3 linked regions of the Saccharomyces cerevisiae S288C genome follow. Changing the gene in region 3 together with the main gene of any one other region gives a genetic interaction. Each region holds a gene or a part of one and is shown on either strand. Other genes may lie near its edges. The genes, in order: PSD1, PBS2 and SAC1.

Region 1 (7,081 bases), on a different chromosome or scaffold from region 3:
GTATAATTTTACATACCTCCAAAAGAAGAATTAAATCAAAGTGTGCAGATAATACTATATACAGCAAAATAAATGCTAACTTTACATATGATTGCTTTCATTTTAAATCATTCTTTCCAATTATGCCTAATTTCTGTCCCATCTTAACCTTATCACCAACCCTAACATCGAACTTAAATTCAGTGGGAGCTTCAAAACAAAGTACAACAGTGCTACCCAATTCAAAGCCACCCATTTCTTCACCCTTAACCAAAGGCATCCCTCCCAATATTTTACTTGCATTCTCATATACTGCCTGGTAGCAGGTATGTGGTTCCAAGTGTTTGTCGCTCTTTGAATTTGTCACAAATTCTTGATCAAAATTCAACTTGATTGAACCAACATTTGTTGCACCAACAGGAGTCATGCTAAAAAATCCGTACTTCCAACTACCCAACAAAGCAACTCTTTCATTTAGAACGAAAAGATTAGGGAAGTTACGCTGGAAATAAGGTGCCACGGAGAATAAATCACCTGGGAAATGGCGGCGAACCTTACAAACCCAGTCAACTGGAGAGTGGAAATGATGGTAATCACCGGGAGCCAAATAAATGACGGCAAAGAAAAGTTCCGTATCATGAGGCTCAGAGCACGAAAACCCATTAGAGAAGTAGTTTAAAGAAAGTTGACTTAAAAGATGTATATTTTTGGACACACTTGGTTTGAACTCTCGAACAGATTGATCGCCCTCGTTTTTAAAGTTAAGAAGAGGCTGTTCAGTGTCTTCGGAACCCGCTAATTGTATTCTATTTACCCTGGCGAATTCTCTATGCTTTTCCTCATCAGAAGTCAAATCTAGACTAGATGCACTCTTAGACATCAAGGGGTGGGAGTGAGTGCCAAGGAATTCTTTGATGGAATATGTCATTCCCTTGACTTGTTCGATTTCGCCAGTTTCAGAGTTGATTATACCAACTTGTAAAATCTTTCCATCACTTGGAGAAGCTATAACGTCTTCGCCTTGTGCTACTGGACGTGTGCCTGGTTTTATGTTACGATAGAAAAATTCGGATAAATTTGCATAATGTGTCAAATCAGGATCTTCCATCTCGTCCAAGTTAACTCCAAAAAGGAAAGAATATAACCTGTAACCCCATGGTCTAACCCAAATGGGTAACGTAAGAGAATTTACTTGGCCCCATAATCGAGACATCGCATTCAGCGGTAAAGTAGAATAGCAGAAAAAGAGCCAATTATTGTTAAATATTTTGATTTTTCTTGTCCTTCTCCCTTTTTTGCCCTCTGTAGCATCCTCCTCTGTACTATCATTCCTTGACACTAGTAAAATGGTTCCTAGAACAATGGTGAAACTAGTTAAAACAACCCATTTCATGGAGACCTGTTTTCTTCCGCTATTTGCGGCAGCAGCTTTGGCACGATCCACAATCTCTCCAGAACTGCGTCGTTGCTGAACGAAAAGACGCGTGGAAAACTTTCTATTCCATAGCACCGCAGTTCTATTTCTTAATTGCATTCTTGTAGAAAACTTTACAGCAGGCATCCTCCCCATGAGGAGCGTCCTCCCTTGCGCCAAGGCGTTCTTAACTGGCATAATTGACATGCTGGCTTTGCTTTTCCTTCTTCTTCAAAAAATAACGACCAAGAAGGATTTGAGCGATCTGCTAACAACTGGCTGAAGAGTCCTTAAAGCGCTACGTACCTCTAGGCGTCTCTTTTGTGAGTAAGCTGTTTTATATTATAGGTGAAGAACAAATTTTCCACATGCTTGTGCCTGCTTTAGATGTCCCTTGACCTCGAGATTTGAAAAAACACCAAAAAGGTGCTGGTTACCCTGCATGTGATATGTGATTACATAGCGTAGCGTATACAGAAGCACAATTGGTCGTATATGTGCCAAGCTTGTAGGAAATTAGTAACGCATAACGTGTTATCTGCGACAAGCGTGAATGCGACAGACATTATGTTTCTCTAAATTCATATGGTCCCGGCCGATTTTCACATTCGAAGTTCATGTCGACAATATTGTCATTATTCTGCAATAGCTCACAGTGAACACGGTCACCAGGCTTTAACTCGCCTACACCTGCAGGTGTACCAGTCAAAATGATATCACCCGGTTCCAGAGATATCATGGTAGATATGTGTTGCAGTATTTTATGGAGTGGGTGCAACATGAGGTTAGTACCACCATCTTGTCTCAACTGTCCGTTAACAGAGCACTTGACTCTGAAAATATCCTGTAAGTTTGATTTGTAGGATGAGAACTTCTCGCGGGAGACTATAGCAGAGATTGGCATGAAGGTGTCAAAACCCTTGCTTATAGTCCAAGGTAGCCCCTTCTTTTTGGCTTCATCTTGGACATTTCTTGCTGTAAGATCCAATGCTAGAGCTACACCACTAATAGAGTCATAGACTTCTTCGGGTTTCATCTTAGTGACATTGGACAAATGTTTGCTCACAATCAATGCCAACTCAATTTCGTGATGAACCTTCACACCGCGTGGGATAAAAATGGGCCCGGGGTTAGTTCCGTCTTCATTTAAACCATTGAAAGTCGAGTTTGCAGGTCTAGTGGTCTTGACCAATGATGAAGACAATGGTGTCACAATACTCGAGGTTGGTTTTAGGAAAAAAAACGGTTGTTTTGGAGTTGAATTGTTCAGCTCTTTGATATGCGCTGCGTAATTACGCCCAATGCATATAATTTTTCTAGCTGCCTTCAAATAATTGTAGCTCATAACGTTTTGGCAATTTCCTGAGTCTTTACTCGATAGCTTTCAGAATATTTCTATATAGGAAGTTCTGGCTGAAACGTTTTTCCTTATCAGTTAGAGAACGGTGACCATCTCTTGAAAGCGAACAAAAAAACGTGAGGCTAAGGAAGCTATTTAGGAAAATAGACGAAAAAGGAATGGCAAAAGAAGGAATGGCCCTTTCAAAATAGGTATAAGCAGCACAGCTTGATACATGCTAGGGTTGCAGCAGTATAACTGTACTCTCTTTATGAGCGTAGTGAAAAGACGGTGAAATTATAACGGTATGCTCTATGAAGAATAAATGCTGTAGGAAAATTTACGATAATAAAGCCTTTATTGTTGTTGATCAACAAAAGGAGGCTTAAGCAATTGATAAACTTCTGAAAAGAAGAACCCTATTAAAGTTTATATCAAATATAGAAAAAAAAATCTTGAAGTTACATAAATACAGAAAAAAGCGGGAGAATAAAAGGGATTTCCTCTTAAAAGGAACTTTATAGTGGAATATTTGCAATGAGAAAAGCGGACAGGTTGAAGAGTACGAAAGCATCAGATAGAAGACTATTTAAGAACCCCGTCGCTATCTCGTCAATTATTGTGAGGTAGAGTGGATAGTACATCATGCTTATTAGTATCATGGGTATCGGAATTTGCATTTATTACCAATGGATTAGTAACAGAGTAGCATGAATTGATTATATTCTGTGCACTATTTCCCACATTATTAGTAGTTGTGTTACTTTTGCTGATATTTGCTCCAGAGTTCAGTGAGTATTTTTTATCTAGAATTATTGGTCTTGAATTAACGGAAGGATAGCCCGCATTTTCGCTTTTGACAACGTTAGTGTCCTTATTGAAGCTGTCTTCTTGGCCATCCATGTCGTCCCTTGGGTTTTTGCCTCCCCTTCGGTAAAAATTCGTTTCACATATCAATTGCTTCATGTTTGATAATACTGACATTGCACTTGAATAATCACTCCTTGAAATGCTACTCTCTAACAATGCTATTAAAGATGTAGATGGTGGTGATGATGATGACGGAGTTGAAACATTCACATTGAATTGGGAATTCGAGGAGCTTGAGGGTATTATGCCGCATAGCTTCCCAATGACCTGAGTTAGATCGTCATATTCAGATTCATAGAATTGTAGATCATTTTCAATTTTCTTGATGTACTCTTTCTTTCTTTTTCTAAATTTAGATGCAGCTACTCTATTTCTTTCTAAAAACTCCTTTCTTTTTCTTTCTTGCTCTTCATTCTCATCAAGTGTTACGTTGTTTGAAATTTTATTATTTTCAACATCATCTTTTTGTGCTGGTGCAGTCGTAACTGCTGAGTTTTTTCTTGATATGGAATTTTTTCTTGAAGCCTTAGAAGTAGAACTTGTGCTAGACATCCTTCTCTTTCTTTTTCGTGTTTTGTTATTGAACTGGTCATTGTTCTCAATTTGAGTCGTTAAATTTTCATTCTCCTTGTGATTATGAGCGGAGTGCTCGATGGCATTGAACTCTGCCGGATTATCCATTTTGACAGCCGCTTTCGTTGAAGTATTTGGGGAAAAATTGGAATTACTGATGCTGTTGTTGACGGTACCATCTGTGGTATTTGTTGTAGGTGTTGATTTGAATACTGGATTAGCCAAAACTCCAGTAGATGGTAAGTTTAGCAGAGAACTCAATCCCGGCGTAAGTGGTGTACCATTTACAGTTGGGTGCATTATATTAACATGAGGGTGGTTTTCAATACTTCCATTCACTGTGACACTTTTGTTGACATTTTTGCTACCTGTTATAGTATTTTTATTAATTGACGGCAATACGGGATAATTGTAAGATTGCGTAAGAATACCGGGTGTCAACCCGGTCCTGATATTGGACTCATTAGGTGTCAACCCAGATTTGGACAAGTTTAATAAAAAGCCAGGCATTTGTGAATCATTCGTGGGGAAGCCGTTACCAGAATTACTTGTGGTCACGTTCGAGTTTCGTGGCTGGCGTATAAGTGAAGTCCCTGAAGGAGAAGAGCTGTTTGGATACAGAGATCCGGAGGTAGAAGAAACGCCTATTGCACTAGGGTTTGAATTAGAGACTGAAACAGAATGTGAATTCTGACTGGGATTCGTAGTTGAATTTGCCTGATATAAAATAGAGGGAGAAAGGAGTAGAGGTGGTAATCTTTTCGACCCACCAGGTGTGAGAATAGGCGGAGATATTATAGTAGGTCTTTGTTGGCCTGGTAAAAAACTAGGTGAGTCTTTTTTTACGTCATTATGATTACTATTATCTGTAACGGTTGAATTCCCATTTTCTTCTGGAATACTGTTCAAACTATGAGTGGAACGTTGGGAATGTTGTGTTATCGTTGAGGTAGAATTGTTTCGTGAAAGCTCTTTTGGTAGAGACGGATGGGAGATCGTGCCTGGAAGTGACAAAGCCTTCTTGGAAGAGGCGAAGCTTTGTTCAAAAGGATTGGGTTCTAAATCGAAAGTTGAAACAGTACTTGGTTGTCTCGAGCGTTCCTCGCTTGACATAATGATTAAGCAGGGTCTAGAGACTGGGCAGGTGTATTTGGAATGCAGAAATTGAAATGAAAAGAATGAAATAAAAATAAAAATCCACGAATTGATTAAGGAACTTATCAAATAATAGAGATCGGTAAAAAGATAGGAATCTAATAAGTGGAAAACTCACTTGAATAATAAAAGAGTTTTTCTCGATAAGAAAACACAATTCACTTTTACGTTGAACCCCTTTGGTAGTAACTTTTCTGAGCTTAAAACCACTCCTGAGCGTTGGCAATGTAGCACCAAATTATTGTGTTTCTGGAGAACAAATTAGTCTCACGTATCAGTAACCAAACTTGGTCCTTTTAACTGGAAAAATGTGCAGTTTGTTTCGAAAACCATCACCGTATGACTGAATTCATTCTATTCAGCCCAGTTAATTTTCGTGATTTTTCCCTTCGATTCTACTTTTTTCCCTCTGCGACAAAGTTAGCAGGGTTATCGCTAGCGCGGTTAAGTACGACTTGGTTTATGAAAGTTCTTAGAGAAAAGAAGACACAACGCCATTGAAATTGAATTCTGGGTACTGTTATTGTTCCGTTTCATGTTATTACAATATAATTGACTATCTGAACATTTTGTCTTCATTTTTTTTTTTTTTTATTATCGTTTTGTTTACGTTTAGGCGAAATACTCACCTCTTTACTATTAAAATAATAGAATTTATCAGAAAAAAAGTCAGCAACATCAAAAATAACAGATGGATGGCTCTAGGATAAAGGATTCTTATTCTCTTACGATTGTCTATGTTCTTTTGGTATTTATTTTAACTTTATATATCTGTCTTAATTTATAAATATTTATAACAACCCTTGGCGTAATGTAATCATTTAGTTCCAATCCAAAATTGGCCATTTTCGCCACGATCAATTTGCTTTCTCAGATGTCTACTTAATAACACTCCGACCTCATATTTCTCCTTCGTTTTCTTGTCAAGATATTCTTGAAGCTTCACTACGGCTCTATGTAGTCTCTTTCCGTCTTCCATAGATAAAGAACCCTGTGCATTCATCTTGTTTAGATAGTCAATTTCCTTTTGTAACTTAATGCATTTCATGGATAAATAATCATGTCTTTTTTCCAGCTTGGCAATACTGCCCAGCTCAGACGCTGATGTGATAGGAGAGGAGACTGGCGAATCATACTTATTTAGTGAAGATTTACGACTTCCGTTTCTTGAATTGGAATTGCTGCTCACCGAGATAACTCTGAACGGATTTGTAGGGCGTCGTGTCTCGAAATTCGCCATTTTTTTCTGTCCATCACCATCTGAATTAAAGTGATTTATATTGGTACCATCTTCTTTAGAATTCTTTTTAGGGATAAAAATTTTAGTTTGAGAATCTAAGGGAGTGCTTCCTCCAGAGCGATTGGGACAATTCTCTGAATTATCGTCATGGGGTGTTTGATCAGCTAAACGGCTGCTCTCATGGTTGTATTCATTGTCACCTCCTACAACTATGGTTTGCGGTTGTATATCTAGATCCTTATTAGCGGAAGAAAATTTGTCTAATACAAGTTCAGCGTCTAACTTGTTCTCACCGCCCAAGGTGTTATTCTGGGGCATGGGTGATTTGAAAGATTCAATCTCACTGTTTTCCTCTGTTCCCTTATCTACTCGCCCCTCTTCAACATCCGATTTTTCATCCTCCCATTCATCATCATTATTTTCGATAATTTCAACATCAGCTTCACCCCTGTTTTGATCTATATTGACTGTACCATCTTCTTTGTTCTCAGTGCAGGAGTCCTTTGCCTTT
Region 2 (7,081 bases), on a different chromosome or scaffold from region 3:
GGTCATGGTTCTTGCTGTTAGTTCCCTTTCTAAGATTGTTTTCGTTCTTCTCATCTTAAAATTTCGTCTAGAAGAGTCTCTAATACCATCGAAGTAGCGCTCAAACCAGTAAAGCCGTACAAATGCCAAGCAACTATGAACTGCAATTGGTGTTGATATGCAGCATACGATATACAGAACAATTTGTTGGTATAAGCTTAGATTGTTGATATCCACAGTATTTAAGCCACCTTGTGTAACTGCGCCCGCTGCTAAAAACAATGTATCAATGTATCTGGTATTCTTAATGGGATATAGCAGGATTGAAGTTATTAATGTCAGGGATATCGTGTAGAAGTAGTGAACCGCGATAAAACTGGGGAAGATATATTTTTTAACTGGAGCAAAATAGTGACCACATAGAGCAATAAAATCACGAAATTTATGGCCGAAAGATTTTTTATATCGTATTTCAAGAGATGCCAATGTGGGCACTCTACTCATCGTTCTTCTAAAATGCATTGTTAGTTATCAAAAAAAGGTAATAACTTTAAGTAAAATGGATAGGAATGACTTCCTTGAGAGCCAATAGAATACCCTCCTTCTTTTTAAGGCAATACAAGTGTGGAATCAGTGATGCTAATGGTAAGGTAAAAACAATGGGCGAAAGGAAAGCAACAGTAACAAAAAGTTTCTAATAATGTAAGAGCTCTTTATCTTGATAGGTAATTATTTACTGTTTTCCGTGAAAGTAGCAAAATTTAGAAGTTAGGGTAAGATACAGGTATAGTTCCTGGTCCAGACTCCACATCTACTCTCAATAACGTGGATTTGAACTTTCAAAACACCTTTTATTTTCTCGATGATTTTGGACTTTTTTTTCTTTCCTAGCCTTGAGCCGTAAAGAGCGGAAAAACCATCAGACAATTCCAGAGCATTTTTTCTTTCTTGCGTTGTCAGCCCCGAACGTAAATAATTTCGAGGAGTCGATGGCCGTAGCAATAATCGAATAACACAATATATTGACGTCCACATCGCTTCACTTGCCGGTGCTTGAAATAACATCCCCTCAATACTCTGTCATAATTCGTGCCCTTTTTTAGGTTCGACAAAAGGAAGTCAGACGATATATATATATGAATATATATATATATATATGTCTATAACGAGTATAATGCAAGTTTATTACAATAAACATATGTATATGTAAGGTTTTTTTGTATTCGCCGCATCATTTCCACAGTAGCTTTTCGTCTGCTTTTTTTTTGTTGTTATATTCACGTGCCTGTTTGCTTTTATTTGGATATTAACGCTATAAACCACCCATATGTAATGCCGGTACATTTTTAGATAAACCATTCTCACCACGTTCCCGTAAGATTTTGTTGCGCCTTTCTAATCGTTCAGTGATATACTCACTCATGTGGACATCCTGGTTTCTGTATTTTACTAACCAAGGATGCTCTGTTAAAGCTGCGTATGTAGGTCTTCTTTCCGGAATCTTTTGTAGACATAAAGAAACAAAATCTTGTGCGTCAGAACTGAATTTATCTGAAGGTAATCTCGGTGGCGGCCCATCAACAATAGCGCTCAATTGAGAGAAAATGTTGTCGTATGTTTCTGGTGGATACGGATATCTACCTAGTGCCATTTCCAGAATGCTTAAACCTAAAGACCAGATGTCTGACTGTACGGTATAGGTGGCTCTATCTGGATTCAACGATTTGATTCGTTCAGGTGCCATGTATGACTGACAACCAATATTAGTCTTCGCTAAAGATGCCACCAAATTACCAGAAACACCGAAATCGCACAGCTTTACGGTGCCTTGGTTGGCTGAACATAAAATATTTGTTGGTTTGACATCTCTGTGTATGATATTATGCTGCTCTTTGAGTTCTTTTAGTCCATGAATGACAGCATTGGCAATAAACGCTAGCTGAGGTTCATCAATGCCGCCGATTTCAGATGATTCGTCGTATATTTTATCCAAGGAACCACCATCCATGTATTCCATACACATGTAGACGGCGCCCTCAATAAAGAATGCACCATAAAAATCCACAATATAGGGAGAATTGCATTTATGCAAAACTTCTAGTTCCATTAAAATTTGTCTAAATTTAGCCTCATCTAGCTCCAAACGGACTTCCTTCGTCGCCATAATAACATTTGTGGGCTTATGCAGTACCTTTGAGACGTTACCATAGTTACCATGACCCAGTTCATCCAAAAATTCTAGTTCGTCCAATGTAATTCTCGAACTAGAACCATTGCTGAAATCTATTCCTTTAGAGGATAGCGATAGTTTGCCTGCAAAATTCAAAGAGCCGGATTTGATATCCACGTATTTCGAGAAATTTGCGAAAAGACCACCACCACCACTACTACCAGAATTTGAAGAGTTGTTGCTGTTTCCAGTTCTGGGTGTAGTGCCTACAGTGTCATGTGGGCCTTCGGTACTTGATGAGGTGGATGTGCTTTGCACACCATTTATCAAAGAACCCGGATTCGATCTTTTCCCTTCAACAACTTTGCTGTTTGATAAGGTTTCTATATGTTTTTTGTTTGAAGGGCTTGGGGCAAACTGCTGCGGCTGTTGAGCTGTTTTAGTGGGCATTTTTAATGACATTCCTCCTGGTGGTAATTTGAGCCCTCGACGGGCACTTAAACTTTGTTTTGGTGTGTTGATTATAGCAGGGGCCTTATGCGGGGCAACATTTGGTCTTGTAGGGTGCTGGGTAGAAAGCGGCCTTCTTGGTGCCCTTCTGTTAGGATTCAGCAATTGCGCCTTATGTGTTGCTGATGCAGTATTAGAAACTGACGGCGTAATGTCAGTAGCAGGTAGGCCAGTATTTACACCAATTGTTGTGGCGGTAATTTTGGTTGTATCGATGTTAATATTTACGTCGGTAATGTTTTGTGTTTCTTGATTGTCCAGAACGTTCTTAAGAGTGCTCTTGGAGGACGCTTGCACGACTTGGCTACTCATTCTTTGTGAAACCTTAGAACTTCCTGCTACGGGAAGAGGCGGCAATGGCTTATTAACAATCTGCTGAATATGTTTAGGTGATTGTGAACTGCCTTTGTCTTGCTCGCTTTGATTACTGCCCACGCTGGCAGACCTTTTCAATGCACGTTGTTCTTGAAAAGCTTTTACACGAGCATGAAGGTCAGCGTTGATGTTATTGTAGTGCGAGGACGTCGAAGATGTTCTCTTGACAGCAGAGCCATTATCTGAGCCTGTTTGCTCGTTTAATTGGATAGATGACTTACCAGTTTTCTCATGGAGACTGAGGTTAGCAAACTTGTCTTCCATCTTTGAGAAATTAACGTCTCGATCTGCTTAATATAATAATGTATCTATAGAAATGTACGGAAAAACGGGTACTTTATCAGTTTTAGTTGTATGACGTTGATGTCTGGAGAAGGACAAGGAAAAAGTAGTTCTGTGAAACGTGTACCCACAATAGCAGCTACCCTTGTCTTCTTTTTTAGTAATTCTTTTCTTCCGGCAAGCAGGTAAGCAGTTATCTCTGTGTCCAGATCCCTTTGAAGTAAAGTTTATTCAATTTTCTATAGAACGTGTATGGCTCACGAAATCGCTCACTAGTAGACAACACACGTTAGAAAGATCCTTTCAGGTGCAACGGGACGCAGAGGGAAAAAACTGGAAAAATTGCCACTAATGAAAAGGCAAATAGAGGATGAAAAAGAAAAGGTAAATGCAGATGAAAGGACGAAGACAGATGCGATAAGAACAGCGTTTGAGATCGGATGCAAAGGATATAGTTTTGCTCTGGCACTGTGTTAGTGTGCTTGTGGGTGCTTTTTCTTCTATTTGCAAGAAAATGTGACCTTTGCGGATAACCTATATAAGACGGGGTTTCCTTGCTTTGAAAAGTTTAAAACAGATATTCTTGCAGATACAGGAGTACATACTTGTGCGATCATCACCAAGATAACAAGAGATTAATCAAATATAGAAACAGATATATAAAATAGATACAGAGTGCTACGCAATAAGATTTTTTTTTCCTGTTGCAATACTATACTACGTCTTGACATGAACTCTCAACAGTGATATTTCTGGGGAGTTGTATCGATGTGTAGTAACTGGTAGTAGTCTAGTAATGAGTTGTTCTCATGTTAGTGAATATTCTGTATGCTTCCGTGCCTGCTGCTATGCTCAAGGGGAACAGAAAAGCAACACGCTCAAAATAGTAATCTACATGAGAAACAAGACTTAGTCATTGCCTTTTGCCAGAATTGGCTTCGGCCGTAGCTGTTGAAGTTAATCCCGCAGTAAAAGACAAACGGCTCCGTATTCAGCAGTTCTATATATCACCTCATTAAGACACAGACGATCTTGACAGTTGCAGCAGAAACACGCCACCATATGTTCTTGTAGCTACACCACGATTGAGTGTCTGCACTCTTATTCAAGTGTTTCAACTAAAAATAAGTCTAAGCTGAAAGATTATTACTTTCATTTGATTTTTTTATTTTTGAAGCCCCATTTCCTTAAATCGTTCTCGTGGACGAGATTAAAAATAGAAATGATGTAGAGGAGATGCACTAAACATTGCCTCCCTGCACCGCACAATTACTGTAGCCATTGTGCTTATTTATATCTACCTATATATCTAAGCAGCTATATCATGGGCTTGACATACGCGACTTCTGCTTGCTTTTGTGCTCTCGTTCAAAGAGCAATTACTTCATTCCATCTCAAGAAGGACTGTTGCAGGTCATTATTTCATTTCTTACTGCACGTATTTCGATTGAGCTGCTAATGAAATCACAACACAACTACCCAAATAGCCTAAGAATTGGAAAAAGGCCCTTCTTGATAATTGGATCTGTTGAGTTGGCGTATGCAAAGCTGTAAATATTGAACGGATCTGGTTGAAAAAGAAAATCATGCTTTCTTTATTGTCGCGTAAACTGTACACTGCTGCAATTATCTAGCTGGCTGCTAGTAGCAATGTGCTCTTCGTTACGCTACCGTAGCTTTTCTCCGTGAGTGACTGATTTTGCTGCTGTACATTTAACTCCTTTTCTATTTAAATTGTGCGCTGCCATTTTCCGCATCGGAAAACCTAAGACAAATTTTGATGAGTATACTTGGTACGTGCCCACGCAGCCAATAGTGTCTCGTTCACGGCATCAGATACAGCAGTACTTAAAAGGGCACTGAGGATCAGGTTTCCTAATCTGGAAAATTTTGCAGCACAAAGCTTAGTTATTTATCTCCGATTATGGATTTCTGCAGTACCTAGGTTTCAACGTAAAACTGTAACAGAACCTTTCGTCATGCAAGCATAATTGAGTTGAGTGCCTTGTTTCCAATTTCAGTTTCCAATTTTACTTCAAAAATCACTTCTGAAATAAGATTTAAGACTTGTCAACCCTGTTCCAAAAGTGGACGCATCATTAAATGTACCTTTTTTCTGTACAAACTTTATAGTTTCTAGGGTTGGTGATGTGACCGTCTCTGGCAGAGTCGCAATTTAATAATAAATATTAGAATTGTGCTCTGTAAATGTATTAGATTCGTTGTTAACAATCTTAGTGACTGAATTCTCATTACCTTCACTGTTGTTCAAATCGATTTGTTGGCCAGTCACATCTTCACCTCGATGATTTATCTTCTGTTGTTGTTCCTTTTGGACCATTTCTAGAGCGGCCATGACGTTATCTTCGAGGCTCAACATAGCATCGTTCATTATAGTATGGTCATTTCTATCTAAATCGGGAACTGAATGGTTCATATCTCGTTCATCACGGTTGACGGGGTTCGCGTGATCCTGCGATTCGTTATTCGTTAAATGGGGTACAATTCCGTTGGAGGCAACATCCAAGTATTTTCGTCTTTTTCTTGAGTTTTCTTCCTCCACGAATCTATTGAAGGAATTCATTGACTGTTCGTCGTCCAATAGTGGCGTGCTCTGTATTGAGGAAAGAAACTCGGATCTTTTATTCGCTTCGTTGGCTTCAGCTGTTGTTGCGGGACTATTCGTGGCGTTCTGGAATGTGGGTTGTACGATATTAGTGTCTGGCGGAGTGGGTTCACCCTCCACATCATTCAGCGTACTGGAAATAATATTTTGAGGGAAATTTATTGCCTGTCCCAATAACGCATTATCATGCTTCTTGCTTTTTCTTGGATTGTTGATAGTTTCTATATGCTGCGTCGGTAGCATATGCGCCTGCTTAACTGCTCTCTTTTGTTCAATTATTACCCCTGTCCCGTCTTTGTACCTCATCTTGCATTTTTGGCACCGAGAGATTACCTCCGAAACAGTACTCTTGATTCCTCTCCAATGGTATTTTTCACCAATTTTGGAGGTCACCTTGTTGATGCCTAAATGTTCCATTAAATGTATCTCTAATGCAATCTGGATTTGTTGATCCGTGTCATAAATGATTTCTTTTCCTTTTGTCATCAACTTGCCATTCAATACCGAATGAGTTTTGGAAAGTACTCTTAATCTAGCCTTTTCGTTTCTATCACAATGTAAAGGATACTTGCCTGTTTCCAGAAAATGCTTTAATCGTTCATATTTCCCAATTTCGATACTCTTTTGAGGATCTCGTAACAAATCTATACTTTTCGTAATATGTGTGAACTCTTTACCATACATGAAAGAATCTACTGGGACATCAAAGCCCTTGAGAATCCCGGCTTCAGGCAGCTTTCCAATCCGCCTAAAGTTCAATCCTTCCAAAATTCTTCTGATTCCTACGTTCGTTCCGTAAATTAACGGGAAAAAGGAGGACGTAAATCCTAATTTCTTTGACCATTCTATGAATGTTTCCATTAGTGTTTTCCCAATACCTTTTCCACGAATACCAGCATTGACCAGAAATGTTCCTGTGACCACATGCGCTGACCGTCCAGGGTATGCTGGTTTGAGGTCAAATATGCCTAGACATTGCTTCTCCCACTGCATACTTAGATTTAAATTGCGACGTTCTTTTCGTTTCTTATATTGGGTGGTGTGCTTCGTGGTTTCTATTTCTGTTCCAAAATTATCATTTGTGTCCGCTTCAGTATCCATACTATAATCCAGTTCTGGTATTTCGCCTAACACCATAA
Region 3 (7,081 bases):
CATGGGTGTAAGACACAAGAAGTACACTGTAGAAGGTGTGCAATTTCATCCGGAATCCATCTTGACCGAGGAAGGTCATCTGATGATCAGGAACATTTTAAACGTCAGTGGAGGCACTTGGGAGGAAAACAAATCATCTCCTTCAAATTCTATTTTGGACCGTATCTATGCTCGGCGTAAAATAGACGTCAATGAGCAGTCTAAAATCCCAGGTTTCACCTTTCAAGACTTACAATCTAACTATGATTTAGGTCTTGCCCCACCGTTACAGGATTTCTACACGGTGTTGTCATCATCCCATAAAAGAGCCGTTGTTCTTGCTGAAGTCAAGCGTGCCTCTCCATCGAAGGGACCCATTTGTTTAAAAGCTGTTGCTGCTGAACAGGCTCTCAAATACGCAGAGGCTGGTGCATCCGCAATTTCCGTATTGACCGAACCTCATTGGTTTCACGGTTCGTTACAGGATTTAGTAAATGTGAGGAAAATCCTAGATTTGAAATTTCCTCCCAAGGAGAGGCCTTGTGTTTTGAGAAAAGAATTTATTTTCAGCAAGTATCAAATACTAGAAGCAAGATTAGCTGGAGCTGACACTGTCCTTCTTATAGTCAAGATGCTATCTCAACCCTTATTGAAGGAACTGTACAGCTACAGTAAAGATTTGAACATGGAACCTCTCGTTGAGGTGAACTCCAAAGAGGAATTACAAAGGGCTCTAGAAATTGGTGCTAAAGTTGTAGGTGTCAATAATAGGGACCTGCATTCATTCAACGTAGACCTAAATACCACCAGTAACTTGGTAGAATCTATTCCAAAGGATGTTCTTCTAATTGCTCTATCGGGAATTACCACCAGGGACGATGCTGAAAAATACAAAAAAGAAGGTGTCCATGGATTTTTAGTGGGTGAAGCCCTAATGAAATCAACCGATGTGAAGAAGTTCATTCATGAATTATGCGAATAATTGAAACTTACACGGTACAATAGGGAAAAAAACTTAACGTTGTAAGGGCGAACGCCTTCATGTATAGTAGCCTATAGAAGATATATATATATATATATATATATATATATGACCATGAAAGATAAAGTAAAAAAGAAAATAAATAGCTTGTTCTTCCCTCTGGGGCCGGCGTTCATTTTTTTATTTTTTTATTTTTTAACTTACTTTTTTTCTCGTTTTTATCATATTTTCGGTTTTACGTTTTGGATTTACAATAATCATCATTTTATCACATATAGAACTCATTAATCTCTTTTTAAAGGATCCGGCTTGGAAAATTTAGGACTCTGTGCATATTTCAAACCTTTGAATTGTTGTTCTTTATCATGCGTTTGATGAACGACCAAGAACCCAACGTCTACTAACTTAGGCCAGTTGACAAACTGAATACCGTTCTTAAACATGAATTTGGTTGAAAGCGCCAAGACAATCGACGCACCTGCAAAATACAGCAAATTCTTACTGCTGGTAAATCTATCTTTAGGAAAAAATATCGTAGCACCTAAAACGGTCAAGGCTGCGCAAATGATCATTGGGATCAGCTGAATATACACTGGTCTTCTGTCGGGGAATGGCGACTTGATAGAAGCGGTATGTGGTCTAAATCCACCAAGGAATAAATCGTATGAATCCTGTCTTGGACCATCAGTCCAATTGTTCTGGTAATAACGTGATGCTGAATTCAAAAAATCGTTGAATGCACCTAGACGTGTACGCTTACCGGTTCTTGTGAAATCGGTCTTCAAAGCTCCAGTGCCCGAATATGCCACACTAACTGCATCTGCATTATCAGCCCATAAGTTTTGGTAAGAAGTTAACAATGGAGCGTTGTCTTCCCAAGTGCTTCCAGTAGCAACGACATCGGCACTTTCAAACTCCTTTTGCAAAACCCACTGGGCTAAAACAGATTGAACGACATTTGTTCTGTCCAAACAATCCATACAGTTTGTTCTTACAACGGAATGTTGCTCATTAACAATTTCAACGGTGTTACCATTAGAGTCTATGACCTTGTGGAAGAAATCTTCGTTAGATAAACCTAATTTCTCCAGGTGATCAATTAACAATTTCACTCTATGCCATTGCATCTTACGACATTCATGGTGGAAGTCAAAATACACGTAGTGAATCTTCGGATCGTTTAGCGCGTGCACGACTGATTCATAGCCCTCTTTCACGGGTAGTTCGTGGCCCTTTTGGTTGACTAGGTTAACCAAGTAGTTGTCGCCATATAACTCCTTTTGCTGGTCAAAATGCTTTTTTGTCGCATCTAATGAGTTTTCTCCAAGAACAAGATTTGGCTTGTACTTCAAGTTGTTGATTTCAGCCCAGTATATTGGCACAGATCCTCTTGTCTGTAAGAAGGAGAAAACGTGTATTTTTTCACTCTCTGGATTCTCAGCGAGTAAAATTTGCTCAGTTTCATTGAAATTGCCAACGTTACCGTCTTTGTCAACACCACGACGGAAGTATCTTGTGCCCGCCCTAAATATACTACGTCTGGTAATCAAACCAAGAACGATAGGGGTGGCATTCAAAACGGCGTCCACTGTCTTGGCATACCCATAGATAACAGGTTGTATAAAGGAGTCAATTCTAGGATCTTGATGAGCAAAGTTTCTCAAATCTTCAGTTAAGTAATGGTTCCAAAAGAATCGTTCATCAGCGGTTTTCCAGGAGGCTGCAGGACCAACCTTTTCATTTCTTTGTAAGGAATTTGTTAAATCATATGTGTATGAAAAATAAAAGGTGGAATTTTTCAAATGCAACTCCAGTAGCTTGATATATTCGGCTTCTTCAGAATCGATTCTCGAGTTAAACTTGGTAGATACGATAGAATGTTGCAACACTCTATAGAAAACGTGGCCATTGAATCTACCGGTCTCTTCCACAGTATTTGCGATAATGGCATACCTGTTCAACTTTAGCTTAATGAACCCCATCAAGGACGCAATCTTTACTACTTCACCTTGCACAGGAAATTCCTCTGCTCCAAGGACCCGAACACCTTGATCTTGATTGGCCAAGTGAATAACAGCATCGTTAGTTCCTTTGCCCTCAGCAAGCTTGAAGAAGATACCGTCCGCATTTTGAACGTACACTATTGGACCTGTCATATCTAGACGAGAAAATATACGTGTATATAAATATTATCGTTACTGTTATAGGGATATGGTTTCTAATCCTTTCTCCTATTTCCTTATCTAAACCTGTGGTATTTTTCCCTTGCCTTTTCAACTTCAATAAGCTGGAATTAAATTTGTAGTGTGGGTAAGCAGTAGTGCAGCAATGCGTGCGTGTGCAAGCTCTTGAATATTGAAGGTCTACAGGTTACTAAAACAATAGGAGCGAGGCTTGGACGTCGAGAAAGTTGCTGACCTTGGCATTTCCTTTGCGAGTTTTTCAAAATTTTTCACACTCGTTCAGGACCACGAAAAATAAATCATATGAGATTTTAGTACGCTGATAATAAGGGAAGGCCACTGTCTTGGCTTATTTTATATATATATATTCATGTGTGATAGTAAGGTGTAGAGCAGCAGATTTGGAGTATGGGATATCAATTGAGTGCAACACTTAAAGGGCACGATCAGGACGTCAGGGATGTGGTAGCTGTGGATGATTCAAAGGTTGCTAGTGTTTCGAGGGATGGAACAGTTCGCTTGTGGTCTAAAGATGACCAATGGCTCGGTACGGTAGTTTATACAGGACAAGGATTTTTAAATAGTGTGTGTTATGATTCCGAGAAGGAGTTGTTGCTTTTTGGAGGTAAGGATACTATGATCAACGGTGTGCCCTTGTTTGCCACCTCAGGAGAGGATCCCTTGTATACCTTGATTGGCCACCAAGGGAACGTTTGTAGTTTATCCTTCCAAGATGGTGTTGTGATAAGCGGTAGTTGGGACAAAACCGCAAAGGTTTGGAAAGAAGGATCGTTGGTTTACAATTTGCAAGCACACAATGCCTCTGTATGGGATGCCAAAGTCGTATCCTTCTCAGAAAATAAATTCTTGACAGCTTCCGCCGATAAGACGATTAAACTGTGGCAAAACGATAAAGTGATCAAAACTTTCAGTGGGATTCACAATGATGTAGTAAGACATTTAGCTGTGGTGGATGATGGCCATTTTATCAGTTGTTCAAACGATGGCCTCATCAAGTTGGTTGATATGCATACAGGTGACGTACTAAGAACATATGAAGGCCATGAAAGCTTTGTTTATTGCATTAAACTGCTGCCCAATGGAGATATTGTAAGCTGCGGCGAAGACCGAACAGTCCGTATATGGTCAAAGGAAAATGGTTCGTTAAAGCAGGTAATTACACTTCCTGCCATCTCTATTTGGTCCGTTGATTGTATGTCTAATGGTGATATTATTGTGGGAAGTAGTGATAATCTTGTGAGAATATTTTCGCAAGAGAAGTCAAGATGGGCTTCCGAGGATGAAATAAATGAACTATCTACGCAAGTGGAAAAATCCACTATAAGTTCCAAGACAATAGAATTTGATGAGTCTAAACTATCACCTTATGAAATTTTACAATCGCCGGGGCGCAAAGAGGGTCAAATTGTGGTAGTCAAATCACCTCAAGGTACTATAGAAGCTCATCAATTTTCAAATTCTTCATGGAAAAAGGTTGGTGATGTTGTCGGTGCAGGTGCTACTGGAAACGACAAAAAAATAGAATTCGAGGGTAAAACGTATGACTACGTATTTGATGTGGATATTGAAGATGGAAAACCTCCCTTGAAATTGCCGATTAATGTCAGCGACAACCCATATACAGCAGCCGACAATTTTTTGGCTCGTTATGAACTGCCAATGAGTTATAGGGATCAAGTAGTACAGTTCATACTGAAGAACACTAATGGCATATCGCTAGACCAGCCCAACGATAATGCATCATCTTCTGCAGTATCACCTTCAAAAACGAGCGTAATGAAGGTTCTTCCTGTCAAGCAGTATCTTATCATGGAAAATTATAACCCAGATACTATTTTCAATGGAATAGTAAAAATAAATTCAAATGAGAAGACCTTTGATGATGAAATTCTGGCGCAAATTGGTGGCGCACTACATGACATAGATGAAAGCTGGGAGTTGCTACTTTCATTTGCTAACACTATAAGATCTAACTGGGAAATTAAGACTCCTGCATACGACATAGTACGATTGATTGTAAAAAAATTACCTTATTCTTCAGATATAAAAGATTACATCGAAGAAGGCTTGGGCAATAAGAATATCACTCTAACCATGTTAACTGTGCGTATTTTGGTAAATTGCTTCAATAATGAAAACTGGGGTGTGAAATTACTGGAATCAAATCAAGTTTATAAATCAATTTTTGAGACTATAGATACTGAATTTTCTCAGGCATCTGCTAAACAGTCACAGAATTTGGCTATTGCAGTTTCCACACTAATTTTCAACTATTCAGCTCTCGTCACGAAAGGGAACTCTGATTTAGAACTTTTGCCTATCGTAGCTGACGCCATCAACACCAAGTATGGGCCATTGGAAGAGTATCAAGAATGCGAAGAAGCCGCATATAGGCTAACCGTAGCTTACGGAAATTTGGCTACTGTTGAACCTACATTAAGACAATTTGCCAACTCCGTAACTTGGCTTGCAAACATCAAAAGGAGCTATGGGAACGTGCCAAGGTTTAAGGATATTTTCGACGATCTCTCCTAATACTTTTACAGCAATCATATAAAACACATAATGTCTAGATAGCAAATAATCTTTAAAATTCTTTCTGCCCTATTGAAAATTATGACAAACTATCACGGTCATTTTCTGTCTAACTCGGCAAGAAATTATCATCGTGAAATGAAAAAGGTTACATACAATAAGGTTATTTTGAGTACAGACTGATAAATAGATGGAAAAGACTAAAAAACTGAAACGATAAGCGTCTAGTACCTTTTCCATTAGACGATTCAATACTGCATTTTGCAATGGACAAAGCATTTGACGAAATTATTGGAAATAGTCACACAGACAGCTCATCTAATCATAAGGTAACGAGATACCGCAGAAGGGATTTAAGAAATGAATTAGGACCTAGACTGGGATTTGCGCCTTCGGATGCTGCATCAAGGTCGAAAGATCGCCTTTATAGAGAGAGGGAAGAGCCTCCTTTGCCTAAGAGAATTAGAATATCCAAAATCCCACTAGACGTTTCTGACTACACCCTCGATGATATGATTAAAGAGTTTGGCTCGCCAATATTTTCGAAAATTTTTGACAATAAAGAGGATCGTACATGTATTTACGAATTTGAAGACCCAGAAGTTTTGGAAAAGATTGTCGAGCGTTATAATGGACATGAGTTACATAATGCAAAAATTGAAGTGGAGATTTACCAACCACAGAGAAAGCATTCTAGAATGAATGCCCACAACCGTCGCAAACAGACGGCTCAAGAACACGGAAGAGGCAGGCCAGGGAGCCATTATCGCCAAAAGCCTAACAGAGTCTCCAAAAAGAACAAGGGCCGTGAGAAGAATAACACTCCTACTTCTGTCGAAGCTCTTGACGCTGAATTAGATGCTTACATGAAAGGTTAAGCAATTGTGTATCTACTTATAATTTCTTTATAGTCTTTTCAATGTTTTTTTACTCCATCAGTCTACAGATATGAAACCTCAGTACTACTTTTTACCTAAATAATTAATTTTTATTTCTAGAGGGTAGCAATGATAAACACTTTACCAATCTCTGGAATTAAGAACAAGCGTACTCCGCTCTATTCAGTATTATTTGCATGAATACTTCAACAATTGTTTTGTTTGCCTCAGGTGCTTTTCCGATTGAGCACGATCGCCATAACATTACCACTGAAAAGAAAGATAAGATCAAATGTTACGTGGTGTTGAAGAAAGAATGCCAAAAACTAAGAACTGAACTTAAACAGTAATAATTTTGAGCATTGAAAACCTAAATATAACTTCTTGGTATACAATGCAGAAAGGAAACATAAGAATTGCCATCGATAAGGGTGGAACTTTCACTGATTGTGTGGGGAATATTGGTACAGGTAAACAAGAACATGATACTGTCATCAAGCTCT

Evidence for each region.
Region 1: mutations in SAC1 (region 3) and PSD1 impair growth when combined (synthetic growth defect), as found in Saccharomyces cerevisiae (5 studies listed by BioGRID, with this or other methods).
Region 2: mutations in SAC1 (region 3) and PBS2 together harm fitness more than expected from each alone (negative genetic interaction), as found in Saccharomyces cerevisiae (5 studies listed by BioGRID).

The regions. Positions count from the first base shown.
Region 1 is NC_001146.8:316,072-323,152, forward strand, and holds PSD1 (phosphatidylserine decarboxylase 1), read right to left. Parts: upstream 1,601-7,081; coding exon 98-1,600; downstream 1-97. Other genes in the region: FMP41 (Fmp41p), read right to left, coding at 1,959-2,738; SKO1 (Sko1p), read right to left, coding at 3,345-5,288; BNI5 (Bni5p), read right to left, coding at 6,148-7,081. UniProt on the Saccharomyces cerevisiae protein: Catalyzes the formation of phosphatidylethanolamine (PtdEtn) from phosphatidylserine (PtdSer). Plays a central role in phospholipid metabolism and in the interorganelle trafficking of phosphatidylserine.
Region 2 is NC_001142.9:176,806-183,886, forward strand, and holds PBS2 (mitogen-activated protein kinase kinase PBS2), read right to left. Parts: upstream 3,299-7,081; coding exon 1,292-3,298; downstream 1-1,291. Other genes in the region: TRK1 (Trk1p), read right to left, coding at 1-501; MCO6 (Mco6p), read right to left, coding at 4,746-4,904; SPT10 (Spt10p), read right to left, coding at 5,493-7,081. UniProt on the Saccharomyces cerevisiae protein: Kinase involved in a signal transduction pathway that is activated by changes in the osmolarity of the extracellular environment. Activates the MAP kinase HOG1 by concomitant phosphorylation at 'Thr-174' and 'Tyr-176'.
Region 3 is NC_001143.9:30,579-37,659, reverse strand, and holds SAC1 (phosphatidylinositol-3-phosphatase SAC1), read right to left. Parts: upstream 3,118-7,081; coding exon 1,246-3,117; downstream 1-1,245. Other genes in the region: TRP3 (bifunctional anthranilate synthase/indole-3-glycerol-phosphate synthase), read left to right, coding at 1-961; DOA1 (Doa1p), read left to right, coding at 3,553-5,700; YRA2 (Yra2p), read left to right, coding at 5,967-6,578; OXP1 (5-oxoprolinase), read left to right, coding at 6,973-7,081. UniProt on the Saccharomyces cerevisiae protein: Phosphoinositide phosphatase which catalyzes the hydrolysis of phosphatidylinositol 3-phosphate (PtdIns(3)P) and phosphatidylinositol 4-phosphate (PtdIns(4)P). Has low activity towards phosphatidylinositol-3,5-bisphosphate (PtdIns(3,5)P2).